4 linked regions of the Canis lupus familiaris genome follow. The protein of the gene in region 4 interacts with the protein of the main gene of each other region in a pairwise test. Links are inferred from orthologs where the notes say so. Each region holds a gene or a part of one and is shown on either strand. Other genes may lie near its edges.

Region 1 (4,603 bases), on a different chromosome or scaffold from region 4:
AGTCTGCCATTGACAAAGTGCAAGCACAGAAAAACAGGGCAGCCCGAGTGGCCCAGCGGTTTAGAAACCAGGGTAGAAAAACAGGAACGATGTGCCAAAGAAGGACACAAGGGTTCCGAGAATAGGTGACTTAGAGGATCCCAGACGACACTTCCCGTGGATCTATAAATCGTCTGTAACTGGGAACCTGGTGTCTGCCTTTCACCAGGCCACGCAAAGCAGAACAGAAAAAAAGAGGCAAGCTCTGTGGGCGGAGGCAACTCAGTTAGGCCAGGGAGTCAGTTGCAGAGGGAGCGATAGGAAGCGCGCATCCGCTGCAGCGGGAGCCATAGGAAGCGCGCATGAGCTGCAGGGGTGAGCGATAGGAAGCGCGCATCAGGGGCAGTGGGAGGGATAGGAAGCGCGCAACAGCAGCAGAGGGAGCGATAGGAAGCGCGCATCAGCTGCAGGGGGAGCCATAGGAAGCGCGCATCAGCTGCAGGGGGAGCGATAGGAAGCGCGCATCAGGTGCAGAGGGAGGGATAGGAAGCGCGCAACAGCAGCAGAGGGAGCGATAGGAAGCGCGCATCAGCTGCAGGGGGAGCCATAGGAAGCGCGCATCAGCTGCAGGGGGAGCGATAGGAAGCGCGCATCAGGTGCAGAGGGAGGGATAGGAAGCGCGCAACAGCAGCAGAGGGAGCGATAGGAAGCGCGCATCAGCTGCAGGGGGAGCCATAGGAAGCGCGCATCAGCTGCAGGGGGAGCGATAGGAAGCGCGCATCAGGTGCAGAGGGAGGGATAGGAAGCGCGCAACAGCAGCAGAGGGAGCGATAGGAAGCGCGCATCAGCTGCAGGGGGAGCCATAGGAAGCGCGCATCAGCTGCAGAGGGAGCCATAGGAAGCGCGCATCAGCAGCAGAGGGAGCCATAGGAAGCGCGCATCAGCTGCAGAGGGAGCCATAGGAAGCGCCCATCAGCTGCAGGGGGGAGCGATAGGAAGCGCGCATCAGCTGCAGCGGGAGCCATAGGAAGCGCGCATCAGCTGCAGGGGGAGCGATAGGAAGCGCGCATCAGCAGCAGGAGCTGCGATAAGAAGCGCGCAACTGGGCAGCCCGGGTGGCTCAGCGGTTTAGCACCTTCAGCCCAGGGCCTGATCCTGGAGACCCAGGATCGAGTCCCACGTTGGGATCCCAGCATGGAGCCTGCTTCTCCCTCTGCCTGGGTCTCTGCCCCTCTCTCTCTCATGAATAAATAAAATCTAAAAAAAAAAAAAAAAAGTGCACACCTGCCTGAGGTCAGATTCGGGCTGTGTCCCGGGACCCCAACCCGGTTTGCTCCCCCTCACTTGCCAAACTGCAGAGGCGCGCTCACGTCCACGGACGCCCCGGGGTCGAGGGCGTCCGGCACGACCGCCACCTCCGTCGGCGCCCCGCCGCGCTCCAGCCGCAGCCCGCCCGGGGCCCGCGCCCCGCCCTCCGCGGCGCGCAGCGCCACCAGCACGCGGTCGCCGGCCGGGTGGGCGAGCGGGTCCAGCGGCCGCACGGTCACGTGGCACGGCAGCCGCGCGCGCAGCCGGCCGAGCGGGCTCACCCGCAGCGCCCACGCCCTCAGGCTCCCGCGCGAGGGGCCTGGCGGGGGCGGGGGCTCGGAGCCCGGCGGCCGCTCGCCTCCGCCTCCGCCGTGCGGCCGCGCCGGGCCGGCTCCGCGCGCCCCAACTCCGAGCGGGGTGAGCCGCAGGCCGCCGAGCCCGCAGCCAGGGCGCCGGGCGAACATGGCGCGCCCCTCTCGCGCTCCCTCAAACCGCCGCCGCCGCAGGCCGGGCCGCCCGCCTTAAGGCGGAAAGGCGGACGTTCGCGATTTGCCGAAGCAAGACTGCTCACTTCCGTCGGCAGTTTAAACCCTCAGCCGCGCACGCCGCCCCCGACAGTAAGTATCCACGCGGACCCCTGGACTCCCTGCCCGCGTCCTCCCCTTTCGCAAAGGCGCATGGGATTGGTAGTTCTAAAGGGGAGACAGGTCGTGGGGCTCCGGGCCGCTTAGAAACTACATATCCCAGGAGGCAACGCGCAGGGCAGAAGGGGGAGTGGGAGCAGGTGCCCACTAGCCATTGGAGGAGGGGGGAGGAGCTACTCAGATATCCAACTGGCCAATGGAAAGCGCGGAAGGAGCACGGTGGGCAGGACTGCGTGGTTTCCATGGCTACCAAGGACGCGACTGCTTTGGACAGGGTAGACCTTTGGAGTGAGACGCGGGAGGTCCTAATTTACCGAGAAAAACAGGAACCTAAAGGAGGATCAGGACCAAGTTAAGGGGTAAGAAACCTTTCAAAAGGTGAGACCTGGATGCAAACTAGAGTACCCCCAGTGAGTGGTTAGATCTAAACTTCACTAAACTAGTGCGGGATACCCTGGGGTGGTGAATCCCTGGGCAAGAAAATAAGAAACCAGATTGGTAGTTTTTTTTTTAATGGAATGCCCTCGTATAGAAATAGCAATAGAGTCCTTCCTCCTTCCTGATCCTAAGTGATCTTAAACCAGTCATTGGATGTCTCAGCGTTTTAATTTCTTCTTATTAAAATGAGGTCAATAATACTTCCCTTATTTTGCCTCAAAAAGTTTTTGCAAAGATCAAATAAGGTAATGGATGTGAACTCTATGCACAGGCTGCAAAATTGCAGTGTAAATTACTGTATTTTTGTTTTAGGGAGAGCATCGATTCTTAGTAACCAAGAAATATCTGAGAGATCAGAACTTGTGTCGACAGAAGCATTGATCTCTTTGGCTACAAATGACGCCCTCCCCCCGTTTTAGGAAAAAAAAAAAAACTAAAATAAGGAAAAAAGAGTCAACACAGTGCAATGGGAAGAGCATGAGACTGCTTATTTTCCTGGCTCTATCATTGGTTTATCTGGGTCACCTGAATCTGCTTCTGTTTTAAGATGAAGAAGGATTGTACTAAATGACTCTTTAAGATCTCTTTTACCTTTTATTCTGCAGGCAATTTAATAAAGGAAAAAAAAAAGCCCCACGAGATTTATTTCCTGCTTCCCTGCATATCTCTCCCTTTCTGTACCCCTTTCTCTTCCTACCAAGTATTCCCTATGTTCTTCAGTAAAGACAAACTGCAGTGACATTGAATAAAATGCAAGTGCCGAAACTGAGTGTCAAAAAACTGAAGCCCTTGTTGGGGTGCCCAGGGGCGCTCAGTCGGTTTAGCGTCTAACTCTTGGTTTCCACTTAGGTCATCATTCCTGGGCCCTGGGATGAAGCCCCACTTCTACTCCCCACTCATCAGGGAGTCTGCTTAAAGATTCTCTCCCACTGCCCCTCCCCCCATATAAATATATAAATCTTTAAAAACAAACAAACAAACTGAAGCCTATGGCAAAAGTGCAATAAGTGGAATTATGGGAGATATAGTGATAGAGAGATGGACTAAAGAACTAATGAACTGGTCTAAAGTCCACATGGGCCCAGGTCACAGGGTTCTCTGCTAGCCATTATCTTTTTTAAAATTCAGTGCTTTCACAAGTTATCCTTTCTTCTTTTCTGTCCTCCTAGTTCTTTCTCCCTCCTTATTCTTCCTCTTAGTGAAGGCTCATGATAGGTGCTAGCTTTTAGGTTCACCGTGTTCCCACTGAATACTAGCTCTGTCCTTGGCTTTGTTTCATTTGGTCATAATTATTCAGACAGATCTTCAAAGTGTCATTTTAATGAAAACCCACGGGGATAATTTTTAAAAAATTTGAAAAGGGCATTGGTTTAAGCAAGTTGAGAATGCACTAACATTTGTGTACACATGCCAAATATTTTTAGGTTATATAGGAATACCTAGCAGATCATTTTGTTTCTATGGTAATATTTCGTTTTCTGGAACAAACTAAGTTCATGGAATTGTCAACTGAACCATACTTGTCTATGTGCAAAATCATTGATTATTTTCAAATAAATTTATTTGAAAGAAATAAATTTCAAATAAAGATAATTGAAACACTACTTTTCTGATTATATGAGTTTGAAAATGGAGAAAATGATATAACATTATAGGATATTAAAAAGTTATTGATACTTTAAAAATACTTTTTTTGGATACATGACTTATGTATCAAATCTGTCCACATGTCAATGATGACTAATAAAAATACTGCCTTCCATCTATATGATATTATAGTTTTCAAATCGTGTCATCTTATAGTATCCTTATAAAACATTAAGTTTATCAGGGCAAATATTATCCTCACATTATAGATGAAGAAACAAATTCAGAAAGATTAAGATTAAACAATTAAGGTCTGGCCCTCTTCCCACTGTACTGAAAAGGTCCTTGATCCTCCTGACACCTTTGAAGAAAAATGATTATTCACCAAATGAATGGAGAATCATATGTAACTTTTTCCCCTTAAAGCTGACTTGGAAGATATTTTTACATCTTCAGTTTAAAAAAAAAAAAACATTCCTGTAGTCGTGAATATATATTGCTGGTGGCAGTGTAAGTTATTACAAACTTTACAGAGTTCAATTCAGCAGTATGCATAAAGCACTTTAAAAATATGTGAAACCATGACCTGGAAATTATACTTTTGGAGATTTAATGTAAGCATAAAATTAGGGATATTAAAAAAAAAC
Region 2 (4,577 bases), about 3.0 Mb from region 4:
TAGTTGATTAAGAGTATCTGTTTTGCACCATGGAGGCCACCCTACGGAAAGAAGGCAGAGCACTGAGGAGTAAAAAAGAACTAGAAGAGACAGACTTTAAAAACTTAGAACTAGGGTGGCTTAGTTGATTAAGCAACAGACTCTTGAATTCAGCTAAGGTCCTGGGATGGATGTGGGGCTCCATGCTTGCCTGCCAGTCTGCTTGGGATTTTCCCCACCTTCTTCCCCTCTCCTTCCCCCTCTTCCAAAAATAAATACATAAATCTTTGGGGAAAAAAAAAAAAAACCCAACAACTTAGATCTAGAGTGGTTAGAGCACTGGTCTCACAAAGAACCTTAGAAACCAACTCTCCACTGTTTGCTGTAAATGTTTAATCACTTGCAATTAAAAAGTTTCCATGTGGTTAATATTACGAGCTTTGGAGTCAGATCTGTTTGAATTCCCACTCTAATGCTCATTGGTTATTTGACCTTGGTCAAATTGGTTAACCAATCTAAGTCTGTTTCTTCATCTGTAAACAAACGTATGCTTGACGGGGATGGGAGAACCAAATGGGCCAATGTATGTAAAACCTCTAGAATAGAGACTGGCATAAATAGAAGCAGCTCCTCTCCACCCGGATAGTGGCACAGGGTCTGTCCCAACCAGACAAGGCAACACTGAGATGGGAGAACAAAAAGATAAAGGTGGGTCAGACCACAACACAATTAGGAAATTTCAGGGGAAGTTGCCTAGCCGGGTCATTACATTCTAATGAGGAATAATCTCTTCTGAGTGGTTGTCTGCATCCCTACCATGGAAGACTCACCGTCACCCCGTATTTCAGTGCGAGTCCAGCCAGGGTGTCTCCGGGGGCCAGCTGATGCTCCAGGCGTCTTTCCCTCACCGGGGAGCAGGCTGACTGCACCAGGCTTCCGTAAGAACGAGCCCGGCTCCCCTGTAGCAGTCCTGACCCCCCGAGGGGGGCCTGTCTAGAGGACGAAGCCATCTCCTCACCCCGCCGGCAGCTGGGGTTGCAAGTGAGGGAGGCCTGGCTAAGTGCCGACAGCCACGGGGCTGGGGGCGAGGGACGTCTATCCAGGGGGTTCCTTTCCCCCGTCTCCTCTCACAAACCCCCGTCTGCCCCGGCACTTCGCGCCCCCGCGGCTCTCGTTTGTCCCGCTTCCCAGGCGCCTTCCCACGAATCTGTATCCCGAGGATCCAGTCCCTACCAGAGTCTCTCCTTATTAGCACCCCGCTGACTTTCAACCCTCCCACCACTATGAACTCTGACCTTTGAACCGTAGTTACCCTCCACACTCCGCTCAGCTCGCCCCTCTCCCCCAGGTCAGGCAGCCTCCGCCTCCCAGGTTCCCTTCACACCCCGGCCCCGCCTCGTCCCGGGTTGGTCGGCTTGTGTCAGGAATAAATCCAGCCCCCTCCTGGTGGGCTGTCGGCGGCCAGGGAGGCGCGTGAGGACCGCGAGAGTTTGTACTACACGTTCCACTCAGAGATCTTCCAAGGCCCGCTCCTCAGCAAATCCGTCACGGCCTCAACGTCGGTCTCCACATTTAAGTTCTTGTCTCCCCAGACGCCTCGAATCAGCCAAGATGCAAGGGCCGGGAGCCAGCTGGGTGGCAAGCCCTTTGAAAAAAAGACTTCATTTCCCAAAACGCCCCGCGCCTGCGGGGTCGCCGGGTCGCGTGGGCAGTGCGGTCGGCTCCGCAGGCTGTGGGCGGGCTTTCCGCGAGCGCTGTGCATCTAGGGAAGTAAGGAGGCCAACCGGAAAGAAACCCGACGGGAGAAGACGCCTTACTCTCGCTACGGTGGCCTGAGAGGAGTGGCCGAGGCGGCTCGGGAGAATTGTTCGCTTCTGGAGCTCAGTCGTAATGTCTTTCAAGAGGGAAGGGGATGATTCGAGTCAACTCAATGTGCTCAAAGTAAGCGCGAGAGGGGAGCATCGGGAACAGTTTCACTGCCCCGTGAAGGAGCTGTTTTGTTGCTCTGGCAACAGCTGCGGGGCCGGCGCGACCAGAGCTGGGTAGTGACCCCTTCTTCGCCCAGTGATCTCTGTTCTCATGGTCCTTTTTGCCTTTCAATCTTTGACCCCTCCCTCCTCTCCCACTGGTCCCGTCCGGCTACCCCCTGCAGAAACGGAGAGTCGGGGACCTGCTGGCCAGTTATATCCCAGAGGATGAAGCGCTCATGCTACGGGATGGACGGTGAGGGCGAGGGGTGATCAAGCCCGAGGGTGCTGCGGTTATAGGCTTCGTATAATTTTGTTATCAAGGGGGGAGCGGGAGTATCTAGGATTTTCTGATGGGGGATGAGGGACAGGGATGTGGGTGGTGGAAATTGGGAGACCCTAGAGTTTGGTTTTGGAAAGGGTTGCTAGGTCCAGGTGGAACCAGACCCCACTCACCTGGCACCGAATATCTTCTACCCTCCTCTCCAGCTTCGCTTGTGCTATCTGTCCCCACCGACCTGTACTGGACACCCTGGCCATGCTGACTGCCCACCGTGCAGGCAAGAAACATCTGTCCAGTAAGTGAGGGAAGACAAATCTCTGCAGATCACTCTTGCGGTTTTGTTTTTAATTCTCTTCCCCTCTACCTTCAGGCCTGCAGCTTTTCTATGGCAAGAAGCAGCCAGTAAAGGGAATGGAGCAGAATCCAAGACAGCAGAATGAATTGAGGCAGTCAGAGATCAAGGCTGAGGTAGGTAATCAGGGAGGGGAGGGTGTGTTTTGGGTGGGCCTGCTGCACATCTTAGGCTTGAAGGGCTTCGACTTCTTTCTAGCTCTGAAGACACTGACTGTGTTTCCCATCTCCACACCAGGCTCCTCTGTTAACGCAGACCCGACTTACCACCCAGAGTGCTCTGCACAGAGCTCCTCACTATAACAGTTGCTGCCGCAGGAAGCACAGGTCTGTGGGGTGGGAAAGCCAGAGGTAGGGCGGGTCAGAGGAGATAGATGGCTCTAAGATAAAGGTATTACAAATTGTATTCTCAGGAATATTAATACTCCAGAGATGTTTACTGATATTTCAGAAAAAAAAGAGAATGTTGCTTTTTTTTTTTTTTTTTAAGTTTAGGAAACGGCACTTTGGTTTTTGTTCTAAAGATTTTACTGATTTATTCATGAGAGACAGAGAGAGGCAGAGACATAGGCAGAGGGAGAAGCAGGCTCCCTGTGGAGAGCCCAATGCAGGATTCAATCCCAGGACCCCGGGATCATGACCTGAGCCGAAGGCAGACACTCAACCACTGAGTCACCCAGGTGCCCCAGGAAATGGCACTTTGTGATCCTACTTGAAGAGTAGTAATATTAATATATTCGAAGGGCTCTACAAAGTCTAAAGATTAAAAAAAAAAAACCCTCAAAATGTTATACTAGCCTTTTAAAAATTCATATGATTCCAAAATTCTTTTTTTTATGCAAGACATTTACTAATATCTTGAGGAACACAGTTTAGGAAACACTTCTGTAAGGGATTGGGAGTCATAGGAGAATTGGCCTTTTTCCTTTACTACTTTTATAGACGTTGATTCTTCTCTACCTAGACCAGAAACCCCTCGTCCCTCTGTCTCCCATCCCCCTTTACCACCCCCAGAGGTTGAGCCTGAGAGTGGGAAGATCACTAAGGAACCCATGCCTGGAGCTGGCCCACAGGCCAAGGAGTCAGCAACTGTCTCATCCCCTGTGCCCATGAGCCCCACGAGGAAACGAGCCCTGGATCATTACCTCACCCTTCGAAGGTTTGTATGCAGAATCACTTTCTTCAAGTTTTCTCTTTTCTTTCTGAGTTTTCTTATTTCAATCCTTCTCAATTGTTTTTCTCTTATCCCCATTAACTTCTTAAACCTCTTTTCCTGATTTATTCTATTTTCTGTTATTTGCAGCTCTGGATGGATCCCAGATGGACAAGGTCGATGGGTAAAAGATGAGAATGTTGAGTTTGACTCTGATGAAGAGGAACCTCCTGACCTTTCCTTAGACTGATACCCTCTTTTCCCCCTCAGTTCACAAATAAATTTCAGCAGGCTCCAGGAGTCTAACTTTCTTCAAGTCTACTTCCTTGCCCCATTTCAGGATTTCACTGGTGGATTTTTTTTTTTTTTTTTAAGTAGGCTACACACCCAATGTGGAGCCCAATGTAGAGCTTGAACTCATGACCCTGAGATCAAGACCTGAGCTGAGATCAAGAGTCAAACTCTGATTAACCAACCAAGCCACCCATTTCAGGTGTCCCCCATTTCAGGACAGCCAGGCCCATTCTTCCCTGAAATGTACACAGCTCCCCATACTTCTGACCCCTCCCCCACCTTCAACCAAAGTACTGCCAAGCGTCAGCTGCATGCAGCCCAATGCCCTATTAATAAGTCTGTCAGAAGGAGGTCTTTGCCCTTCATGTTGTCTGCCTTCTTTTTTTTTTTTTTTTTTTTTTTTGTTGTCTGCCTTCTTCCCCACCTTCACTCAAAGTTCTTTCCTCCTTCAGATCACATGAAGTTGTAGTTAGACACCAGGGGCCCTACCCGTATCTGAAAAGAGGGCTGGGGTAGTAGGTACCCTGTGAGAGCAGAAGGGACTAACTGC
Region 3 (4,606 bases), on a different chromosome or scaffold from region 4:
AAGAAAGAGAGAAAGGCAGAGACACAGGGAGAGGGAGAAGCAGGCTCCATGCAGGGAGCCCGATGTGGGACTCAATCCCAGGTCTCCAGGATCAGGCCCTGGGCTGAAGGTGGTGCTAAACCACTGAGCCACCCGGGCTGCCCATGTGTGCATTTTTAAAACGATCCTCTTCTACTAACTTGTAAGCTCCTGAGGGTAGGGACAACGTCTGTTGTTATTTCCCAAAGCATTTTCACCCCTTAGCACTGGGACAGAGGCACGCTCCATGAGTATTTGTAGAAACGTGCAAGTCAAAAGGGTCATTAAGTAACCACAATTTGAACACAACGTGCTTTTCTATGCAGGACGGAACCTACATAATAGCTAATAATAAAGAAACGAGGAAAAGTAAGGGCACCCCAGAGCAGAAACGAGAGCCTGTCGCATGTCCTTGGGCATTTAACATGGGGGCCAGAGAACAGGCTGCAGTTTTCTGCTGGCCAGAAAAACTTGAGTCCTTGCGCTTCACAATCTGATTTGCCCTTTTTTTTTTTTTAACTGACGGTTTCCATGAGATGCAGAAAGTACGGCTTAGGGTTCTCCAACCATCTGAGCTCTGGTTAACGAACCAAGTTATTCAGGTATCCGTTTTTAAGCGACTGGATAAACTATCCAAAAAAAAAAAAAAAAGAGAGAGAGAGCGAGCAAGTGAGAGAGAGCGTTTTGTGACACAAAAAATGCACACAAATTTCACATTTCTGTGCGTCCCTAAGTAACGTTTTCCTGGAACACATACATGCACCTGTTCAATCCAGCAGTTTTGGGCCTAGAACAGCTTGAATTGAGTAGCTGCAAAGCTTCAAGAATTCAGTATGGGGTCCTTTAGAGGGGATGGATGCCTGCCTGCCTGCCTGCCTGCCTGCCTGCCTACCTGCGGGGCAGATGACGTCAGAGTCCTGTGCAGACAGGTGAAGCAGGGAAGTGCAATAAGCAGCGCAGGGGGGCGGGGGGCGGGGGTGATCACCGCCGGCCGAGGCCTGGGGACGCGAGCGGCTCTTACCGAAGTAGTCGAGCCAGTTCATCTCGCGCAGCGCCTTGGGGAGCCGCAGGATCTCGATGTTGTACAGGTTGTCCATCTCCTTGAGGAGGTTCTGTGTGTCCGACTGGATCTGCTTGGACCGTATTTGCACTGCGGGCAGGGCACACGGGCGGGTGAACCGGGGCCCGGGGCCCCGCACCCCACCCCGCCCGCACCCCGGCTGCGCCCCCTACCTTCCCGGTCGAAGTCCCGAAGAAAGGAGGCGAGCTTCCGGCTCCGCAAGGAGCTGGTCTTGGCCACCCGACTGCCGCCCTTCCTAGCCGGAGCCATGGCGCTTGGGTGGAGGCTGCGGGCGCCCCCGGGGCGTGGGGGGGGGGGGCGGTCAGCGGCCGAGGTCGCGGGAGAGGCCGGGCGGGCGCCCTAAGGGGCGAGCGGGGGGCACAGGCTGCCCCGGGGAGGCCCGAGCTTAAACGAGGCGCGGGGCACGTACATGCGGGTCGCCGAAAGCGTCCAAGAGAACCCCCGCCTCCGCAGCCGCAAGGACGGAGCAGCTCCTTGCAGAACCCGACGTGCAGCCGCCGCCGCCGAATTCAAACCGCCACCGGCTGACGAATCAGAAGTCGCCGTCTTGGGAGGCTCCCGCAACATCCAATCACAAGGACGCTCCGCCCGTAGGACTACAGCCCCCAGAAGGCATCGCGCGTTGCGACCTCCGTTTGCGCCGCGGCGGCCGCGCTGGAGCATGCGCGGAGAGGCGGCGAGGGAGCGCCGGGCGTGGGTGCCCCGGTGGGCGCCCCCGCTTAGCCGCCGCGGGCTTCCAGGGCTCCCGCCGGTTCGGGGAAGGCGACCGGAGCTGCCAGGGGAGGAGACAGAACTCGGGCTCAAGGCCCGGGTTTCGGGACAGCGCTGCGACCTGAAAGCGGGGCCGCCCCCGGGTCGGAGGGGGTACACGGCGCTTGCGCACGGGAACCCTCGCACCTGGGCCGCCTGGCGCTGCCCGCCGGCCTGGGCTTGTCCGGCAGGTGATGGCGCAGGACCAGCCTCTGCTCGCCGTGCGGGAGGCCCTGAGGGGCTGCTTCCCCGCCGTGCAGGAGCAGCAGCGCCGCTGGCGGGGCGCGCTCGGGGACTGCCAGCCCCTGCTGGCCGCGCTCGGCAGCCTGGCGGAGCAGCTGCAGGCGGCTCAGGTCGCGCGGCTGGACGACGCGCCCCCGCTTCGGGCCTTCCCGGGCCTGCGGGAGCGGCTGCGGCGCAAGCAGCTGGAGGCTGGCGACGACGTGTTGGACAAGCTAGGGGAGACGCTGTAAGAAGAGCTCCGCGCGGGAGGGTGGAGACGCGGGGGCTCCCTAAGCAGCTAGGATCAGTCGGAGAGGGGGTTTCCCCTTCCCTGGAAGGGAAGGAGGTGTCGCAGCCTCGCCTCTTCTCCATTTGTTGCAATGGGATTTATTGATTGATTGATTGATTGATTGATTTTATGCATGGGACGCAGGCAGAGGGAGATGCAGGCTCCACGCAGGGAGCCCGACGTGGGACTCTATCCTGGGTCTCTAGGGTCACGCCCTGGGCTGCAGGCAGATGCTCACCCGCTGAGCCACCCGGGGGTTCCCCGCAATGGGACCTCTTGTCACAAAGTCGTTTTACAGGGGCACCTGGCTGGCGTGGTCAGTCGGGCTTTGGGCTCTGTGGTTTTGGCTCAGGTCGTGCTCTCAGGTGGTGAGGTCAAGCCCGGCGCTGGGGCTCTGCACTCAGTGTGCAGTCTGCCCTCCTTCCTTCCCTTCCTCCCTTCCTTCCTCCCTTCCCTTCCTTTCCTTCCTCCCTCACTTCCTCCCTTCCCTTCCCTTCCTTCCCTTCCTTCCCTTCCCTTCCTTACTTTCCTTCCTTCCTCCCTTCCCTTCCTTCTTCCCTTCCCTTCCCTTTTAGAGAGAGGGGATAAGTGGGGAAAGGGGCAGAGGGAGAGAGAGCATTTCAAGGAGACTCCCAGCTGGGCGCAGAGCCCCATGCAGGGCTCCCATGTCACGATCCGTCATGACAACATGACCTGAGCCAGAATCGCAAGGGAATGCATCCCTGACAAAGGCACCCCGCGCGGATAGGCCTTTTCTCGACTAGAGCAAAATAAGTGTCCAGTGTATACGGTCTGTGCCCTAGGCTAACGGGAACAGGTCGAGTACAGGGATCTTCTTTGTAGTCATTTGTACAAGAGAGCTGAGCACCTGTAATTAAGCCACGCACAAGGTGGTGGGAATATAGCAATGAACCAGGCTTGGTTTCTTTGTAGATTAGAAGAGAGAGAGTTTTTTTTTTTTAAGATTTTTTTTAAAGATTTATTCATTTATTTATGATAGACATAGAGAAAGAGAGGTAGAGACACAGGCAGAGGGAGAAGCAGGCTCCATGCCGGGAGCCCGACGTGGGACTCGATCCCGGGACTCCAGGGTCACGACCTGGGCCGAAGGCAGGCACTAAACCACTGAGCCTCCCAGGGATACCCCTTTTTTTAAGATTTTATTTATTTATCCATGAGACACACAAAGAGAGAGGCAGAGACACAGGCGGAGGGAGAAGCAGGCTCCATGCAGGGGGCCTGATGTGGGACTCGATCCCAGGTCTCCAGGATCACGCCCTGGAATAATAAGAATATTATTACTATTATGCTCACTGTGAGCTGGGCACTTCCCTAAGCACTTTATAAGCATTATTGCATTTGATCCTCCCAAGAACCGTTTCACTCCATTCATTCATTGAACAAGTGTTTGTCATTCTACGTGCCAGTCTCAGGGTTGTGAGCACTTAGGGTGTGCAGTGAGCAACACCATTTTTATACATGATTGAGCGTTAAGTAACTTCTCCTATCTGCAGTAGTCTCTCTCTGTGCACCCAGAGCAGTTTTTCCCACTGGGACGTTTGGCAGTGTCTGGAGACCCGATTGATTGTCCTGACGTGGTTTGCTCCTCTCATCTAGCGGGTAGAGGCCGAGGATACTGCTCAGCATCCTAACACGCACAGGACAACAACTCTCCACCACAAGGGACCGTCCAAATTGAAATGTGCATGTGCTGAGGTTGAGGACCCCTGCCTTAGGGTCCTCTCGTGGTATTGCCTAATGTGAGACTTTTCCCCCCAGAGCTACCCTCCTCAAGGTGCGTGACGTTGTCAGCAGGCACGTGGAACAAGTGTTTGAGGTCTATGAGCAGCACGCAGACGCGATTGGCATTGATGCTGTCCAGCGGGCTTCAGCGGTGAGCCCCTCTGTGGCTGACATGTTGGAGTGGTTGCAGGATATTGAGAGACACTATCGAAATGCGTATCCTTTGCGAATATGTTTCAGACAGCATCCAGAGCTGTCTCAGGAAGTTTTTCATTTCAGTTTTCACGAGAGCATACGACTATAGAGTGCAGGTCAGTTCTCATTGTCTTTGAACTTGGGGAAAAATGAAACGGGGCAAGCGAAGGGCGAGGGTGGGGCTGTGATCTTAAACATGGTAGTCAGGAGAGGCCTCACTGAGATAGTGACATTTGAGAAAAGACCTAAGGAAGATGAGGGAGAGAACCAGTTGATACTCGGGGAGAGGGTGTCCCAGGTAGAAGAAA
Region 4 (3,912 bases):
TGAAGCACTTGAATATTGAAGGAAATATTTCATATTTCCTGCTACTTTGTCTTAATGAACGACTTAGGGCCTTAAAGGTTACTACACCTGGGAAAAAAATTAAGGCAATGTTCTCTAGGAAATCCTTTAAACCTAGATTTGAGGAAGGACTTACTGGTTGCATTTGAAGGTAAAAGAAATTGACCTGTTTTTCTTTGCTGAATTCAGATTCTTCAAGAGAAACTGAATGAAATGAGCTGTGAGCTAAAGTCTGCTCAGGAGTCATCTCAGAAGCAAGATGGTACAATTCAAAGCCTCAAGGAAACTCTGAAAAGTAGGGAAAATGAGGTAAATATTTGGCAGTCAGGAACCCGTGAGGAAATTATTTGCTTTATCAAAGTAGACACATATTCTGTATTTTGTAGAAACAGATCATCAGACTAACAGATGTTAGTGTAGAGAAACTGTAGTGTAATCTAAATCAGTGTTTCTAAAATCTGTACAGGTGAGATAGTGGAATTTATTTTTAGTTTACTAACATGTTCAGTACTCCCTGTCTCATTTTCAGACCGAGGAGTTGTACCAGGTGATTGAAGGTCAAAATGACACAATGGCAAAGCTTCGAGAAATGCTACACCAAAGCCAGCTTGGACAACTTCATGTATTTGAGGGTCACATAGGACAGGAGGTGAGATTCTGGTTAAGGAAGTGCCATGCTTTTCAGACACAGTCTTGATTTTGTTGGTCTTCTCAGCTGCTCAGTGCTTGCTGTCCTCTTGATTAATTTTTACTTTTTTTTTTTTTTTTCCAGAGCTCACAGGGTACTTCCCCAGCTCAGCAACAGATGGCTCTGCTTGATCTTCAGAGTGGTTTGTTCTACAGCCAGCTTGAGATTCAGAAACTCCAGAGGTTGGTACGTCAAAAAGAACGCCAACTGGCTGATGCCAAACGATGTGTCCAATTTGTAGAGGCTGCAGCCCATGAAAGAGAACAGCAGAAAGAGGCATCTTGGAAACATAATCAGGTAAATCAGCAATCATTTTGTGACCAAAAATGCTAACTTTGCCCTGATAATAACTTTGTATCAGGACAGTTTGTGTTGAATCCTTGAGTCATTTTGCTTAATCTAAGTAATTCAGTTCAACATTTATTGCCCTCATACCTATAGGTGCCAGATATTGGGCTGTGTTCTGGAAATACAAGAGTGAATATCATAAGCTCTTTCCTGTTAAGCTACTTGTAGTTTAGTATGAAATAGTCACATAAACAGAATTTTCGTGTGGCAAATACCAAAATGAGTTAAAGGAGTTCTGTGTGGGTCCGATAGGAATATATAGGAGGGGCTGAGGAAGGGAGTTAGGGAGAGCTTCATGAGGGAGGAGCCATCTGGGGTTATTCTTGAAGTGTGAGTAAAGATTACCAAGACAGAATAATGGTAAACAACAACCAAGCTCAGAGGAATGGCATGTACAGTTAGCCACATCTTTAAAAAATAATCATTATTATTATTAAGTGGTTCCTTTATCTTGCTAGAGTATATGCTGTCGATTTTCTTTTTAAGGATTTAAAAGGGGCAGCCCAGGTGGCTCAGCGGTTTAGCGCTGCCTTCGGCCCAGGGTGTGATCCTGGAGACCCGGGATCGAGTACTGCATCAGGCTCCCTGCATGGAGCCTGCTTCTCCCACTTCCTGTGTCTCTGCCTCTCTCTCTCTCTGTATCTCTCATGAATAAATGGATAGAATCTTTAAAAAAAAAAAAAAGATTTAAAAGGATGATAGAAATACTCTGTCCTTGAGCTTATTCAGGTTTCCAGTGGGACAGAGTTCTGCTGAGTAGAGCTATCATTTTAAAACTAGAAAGTATTAGACTACTAATATGAAATTTACATCTTACCGCCATTCACAGTTGCCACAGCTTCCTATATCCTATTTGATTCATGTATAATATATATTTTTTAAGATTTTTTTAAAGCTTTTATTTATTCACTCATGACAGAGAGAGAGAGAGAGAGGCAGGGAGAGAAGCAGGCTCCATGCAGGGAGCCCGACACGGGACTTGATCCTGGGTCTCCAGGATCACACCCCAGGCCGAAGGCGGCACTAAACTGCTGGGCCACTGGGGCTGCCCAGATTTTATTTATTTATTCATGAGAGGCAGAGACATAGGCAGAGGGAGAAACAGGCTCCCTCTGGTGAACCTGATGTGGGATTCGATCCCAGAACCCTGAGCCAAAGGCAGCCACTCAACCACTGAGCCCCCCGGGTGCCCCTGATTCATGTATAATATTTCTTTTTTTTTTATTTTTTTATTTTTTTTATTTTTTTTTCATGTATAATATTTCTACAGTAATTTTAAGAATGGCACTTTTCTGCTACTTTTGTTTTATTCTATATGTCTTGAAAGTTTTAAGGACTCCCTATCTACTAACCAGGTGAAAATTTTAGATTGTTTGAAAAAGGGAATCTGTTTAATTCAGGAATTACGGAAAGCCTTGCAGCAGCTCCAAGGAGAATTACAGAGTAAGAGCCAACAGCTTCGTACCCTGGAGACTGAAAAATGTAATGAGATCAGAGCCCATGAGCAACACATTCAACACCTAAACCATAGTCTGAGCCACAAAGAGCAGCTGCTTCAGGTGAGTCTACATAATGGTTTTAACTAAACTGGGCTCGCAGAGCTCTGAAAGTTCCATTCATGTAATTTCAGGATATTAGTCCACTTGTGTTGAGTACCTGTTACATGTAGAGAACTGAGAGGTGGGAACCAGGAGGGTACAAAATAAATAGAAAGTACAATTCACGAACCACAATACTAATCAGCATATGTACAAAATAATAAATATAGATCTGAAAGATTTAAGCAATAAATATTCAGCAAATTAAACATGTCTGTGAACTAGATACTATGCTAGATGCTGGGAAGACAGAAGATACAGCCACTGCTCTCAATCTAGTAGGTGAAGACATCTGTATAGGAATTTCCAGTTACTTATGTGATAAAATGAACATCAGGGAAAATAGGAAACACTGAAGATGACTGTATTTACTTCTACCACTTGCTCTAAGCTTTAGTCCCATTGAATCCCTTATGTTCTGCTGAACGTACAGTTTTTTCCTCATGTGCATGTATTGTGTATACATTTTTTGTCTGATAGAAATACCCATACCACCTCTTCATTGGGGAAACTCCCAGTTCTTTAAGATTTAGAGTAAATGTAATCCCTTTGGGAGATCTTTAGTGACATCTTCAGGCAGGTTTAGACCATGCATCTTGTGGTCCCCCAGTGGCTGGCTATGCAGACATAGCCGTATATGCATGATGTATATATAAATTCATATATGCACACACACATATACACATGTGTACAGTAATTAACAATTTGTATGTCTGTTATGTCTGCTAACCTGTGTTTTCCTGGAGAGTGATCACATTTTGTTTTTTATCCTGAATAACAAATTGCTTGGCAGAGTGTAGGAATTCAATGCATATTAGATAAATGAATAAAAGGAAATATTTTTTGGTCTTGTTAGGAATTTCGGGAGCTCCTGCAGTATCGAGATAAGTCAGACAAAACCCTTGAAGCAAATGAAATGTTGCTTGAGAAACTTCGGCAGCGAATACAAGACCGAGATGTTGCTTTGGAGGTATGTACCTTGATTTTGTTTATGGCACTATGGATTATTCTGTTCACATAGGTACTTAAAAATATGTGTACACTTAATTTACTGCTTTTAGAGTTGGTCTTCCCTTCCTTTATATTTTCATTGTATACGTGTGATCACAATAGTGAATCCTCAGGAGCTTTAGGATCCTTACTTTCCTTGCAGCGGGCTATAGATGAAAAGTTCTCCGCCCTGGAAGAGAAAGAAAAAGAACTGCGTCAATTTCATCTTGCTGTGCGAGAGCGTGATCATGACTTAGAGAGATTGCGTGC

Evidence for each region. The genes of interacting proteins can lie anywhere in the genome.
Region 1: the proteins of PDE4DIPP2 (region 4) and CCDC146 interact in binary tests that used the Homo sapiens proteins (3 or more experiments, as listed by UniProt). The two-hybrid records come from large-scale screens. The link is inferred for Canis lupus familiaris from reciprocal best matches to the Homo sapiens genes PDE4DIP and CCDC146.
Region 2: the proteins of PDE4DIPP2 (region 4) and SCNM1 interact in binary tests that used the Homo sapiens proteins (3 or more experiments, as listed by UniProt). The two-hybrid records come from large-scale screens. The link is inferred for Canis lupus familiaris from reciprocal best matches to the Homo sapiens genes PDE4DIP and SCNM1.
Region 3: the proteins of PDE4DIPP2 (region 4) and C15H1orf109 interact in binary tests that used the Homo sapiens proteins (3 or more experiments, as listed by UniProt). The two-hybrid records come from large-scale screens. The link is inferred for Canis lupus familiaris from reciprocal best matches to the Homo sapiens genes PDE4DIP and AIRIM.

The regions. Positions count from the first base shown.
Region 1 is NC_049239.1:17,563,429-17,568,031, forward strand, and holds the start of CCDC146 (coiled-coil domain-containing protein 146), read left to right. Parts: upstream 1-1,751; 5' UTR 1,752-1,904; intron 1,905-2,091; exon of another isoform or gene 2,092-2,309; intron 2,310-4,603. Other genes in the region: protein FAM185A, read right to left, coding at 1,328-1,751. UniProt on the Homo sapiens protein: Essential for sperm flagellum biogenesis and male fertility.
Region 2 is NC_049238.1:60,887,226-60,891,802, forward strand, and holds SCNM1 (sodium channel modifier 1), read left to right. Parts: upstream 1-1,725; 5' UTR 1,726-1,869; coding exon 1,870-1,920; intron 1,921-2,131; coding exon 2,132-2,202; intron 2,203-2,435; coding exon 2,436-2,524; intron 2,525-2,599; coding exon 2,600-2,697; intron 2,698-2,818; coding exon 2,819-2,907; intron 2,908-3,544; coding exon 3,545-3,739; coding exon of another isoform or gene 3,740-3,883; coding exon 3,884-3,983; 3' UTR 3,984-4,044; downstream 4,045-4,577. Other genes in the region: LYSMD1 (lysM and putative peptidoglycan-binding domain-containing protein 1), read right to left, coding at 810-989; TMOD4 (tropomodulin-4), read right to left, coding at 3,722-3,885. UniProt on the Homo sapiens protein: As a component of the minor spliceosome, involved in the splicing of U12-type introns in pre-mRNAs. Plays a role in the regulation of primary cilia length and Hedgehog signaling.
Region 3 is NC_049236.1:4,885,064-4,889,669, forward strand, and holds the start of C15H1orf109 (uncharacterized protein C1orf109 homolog), read left to right. Parts: upstream 1-1,754; 5' UTR 1,755-2,043; coding exon 2,044-2,318; intron 2,319-4,139; coding exon 4,140-4,319; intron 4,320-4,606. Other genes in the region: CDCA8 (borealin), read right to left, coding at 1,040-1,168, 1,252-1,348. UniProt on the Homo sapiens protein: Part of the 55LCC heterohexameric ATPase complex which is chromatin-associated and promotes replisome proteostasis to maintain replication fork progression and genome stability.
Region 4 is NC_049238.1:57,872,379-57,876,290, forward strand, and holds part of PDE4DIPP2 (myomegalin), read left to right. Parts: intron 1-207; coding exon 208-327; intron 328-547; coding exon 548-667; intron 668-790; coding exon 791-1,003; intron 1,004-2,454; coding exon 2,455-2,613; intron 2,614-3,508; coding exon 3,509-3,622; intron 3,623-3,805; coding exon 3,806-3,912. UniProt on the Homo sapiens protein: Functions as an anchor sequestering components of the cAMP-dependent pathway to Golgi and/or centrosomes.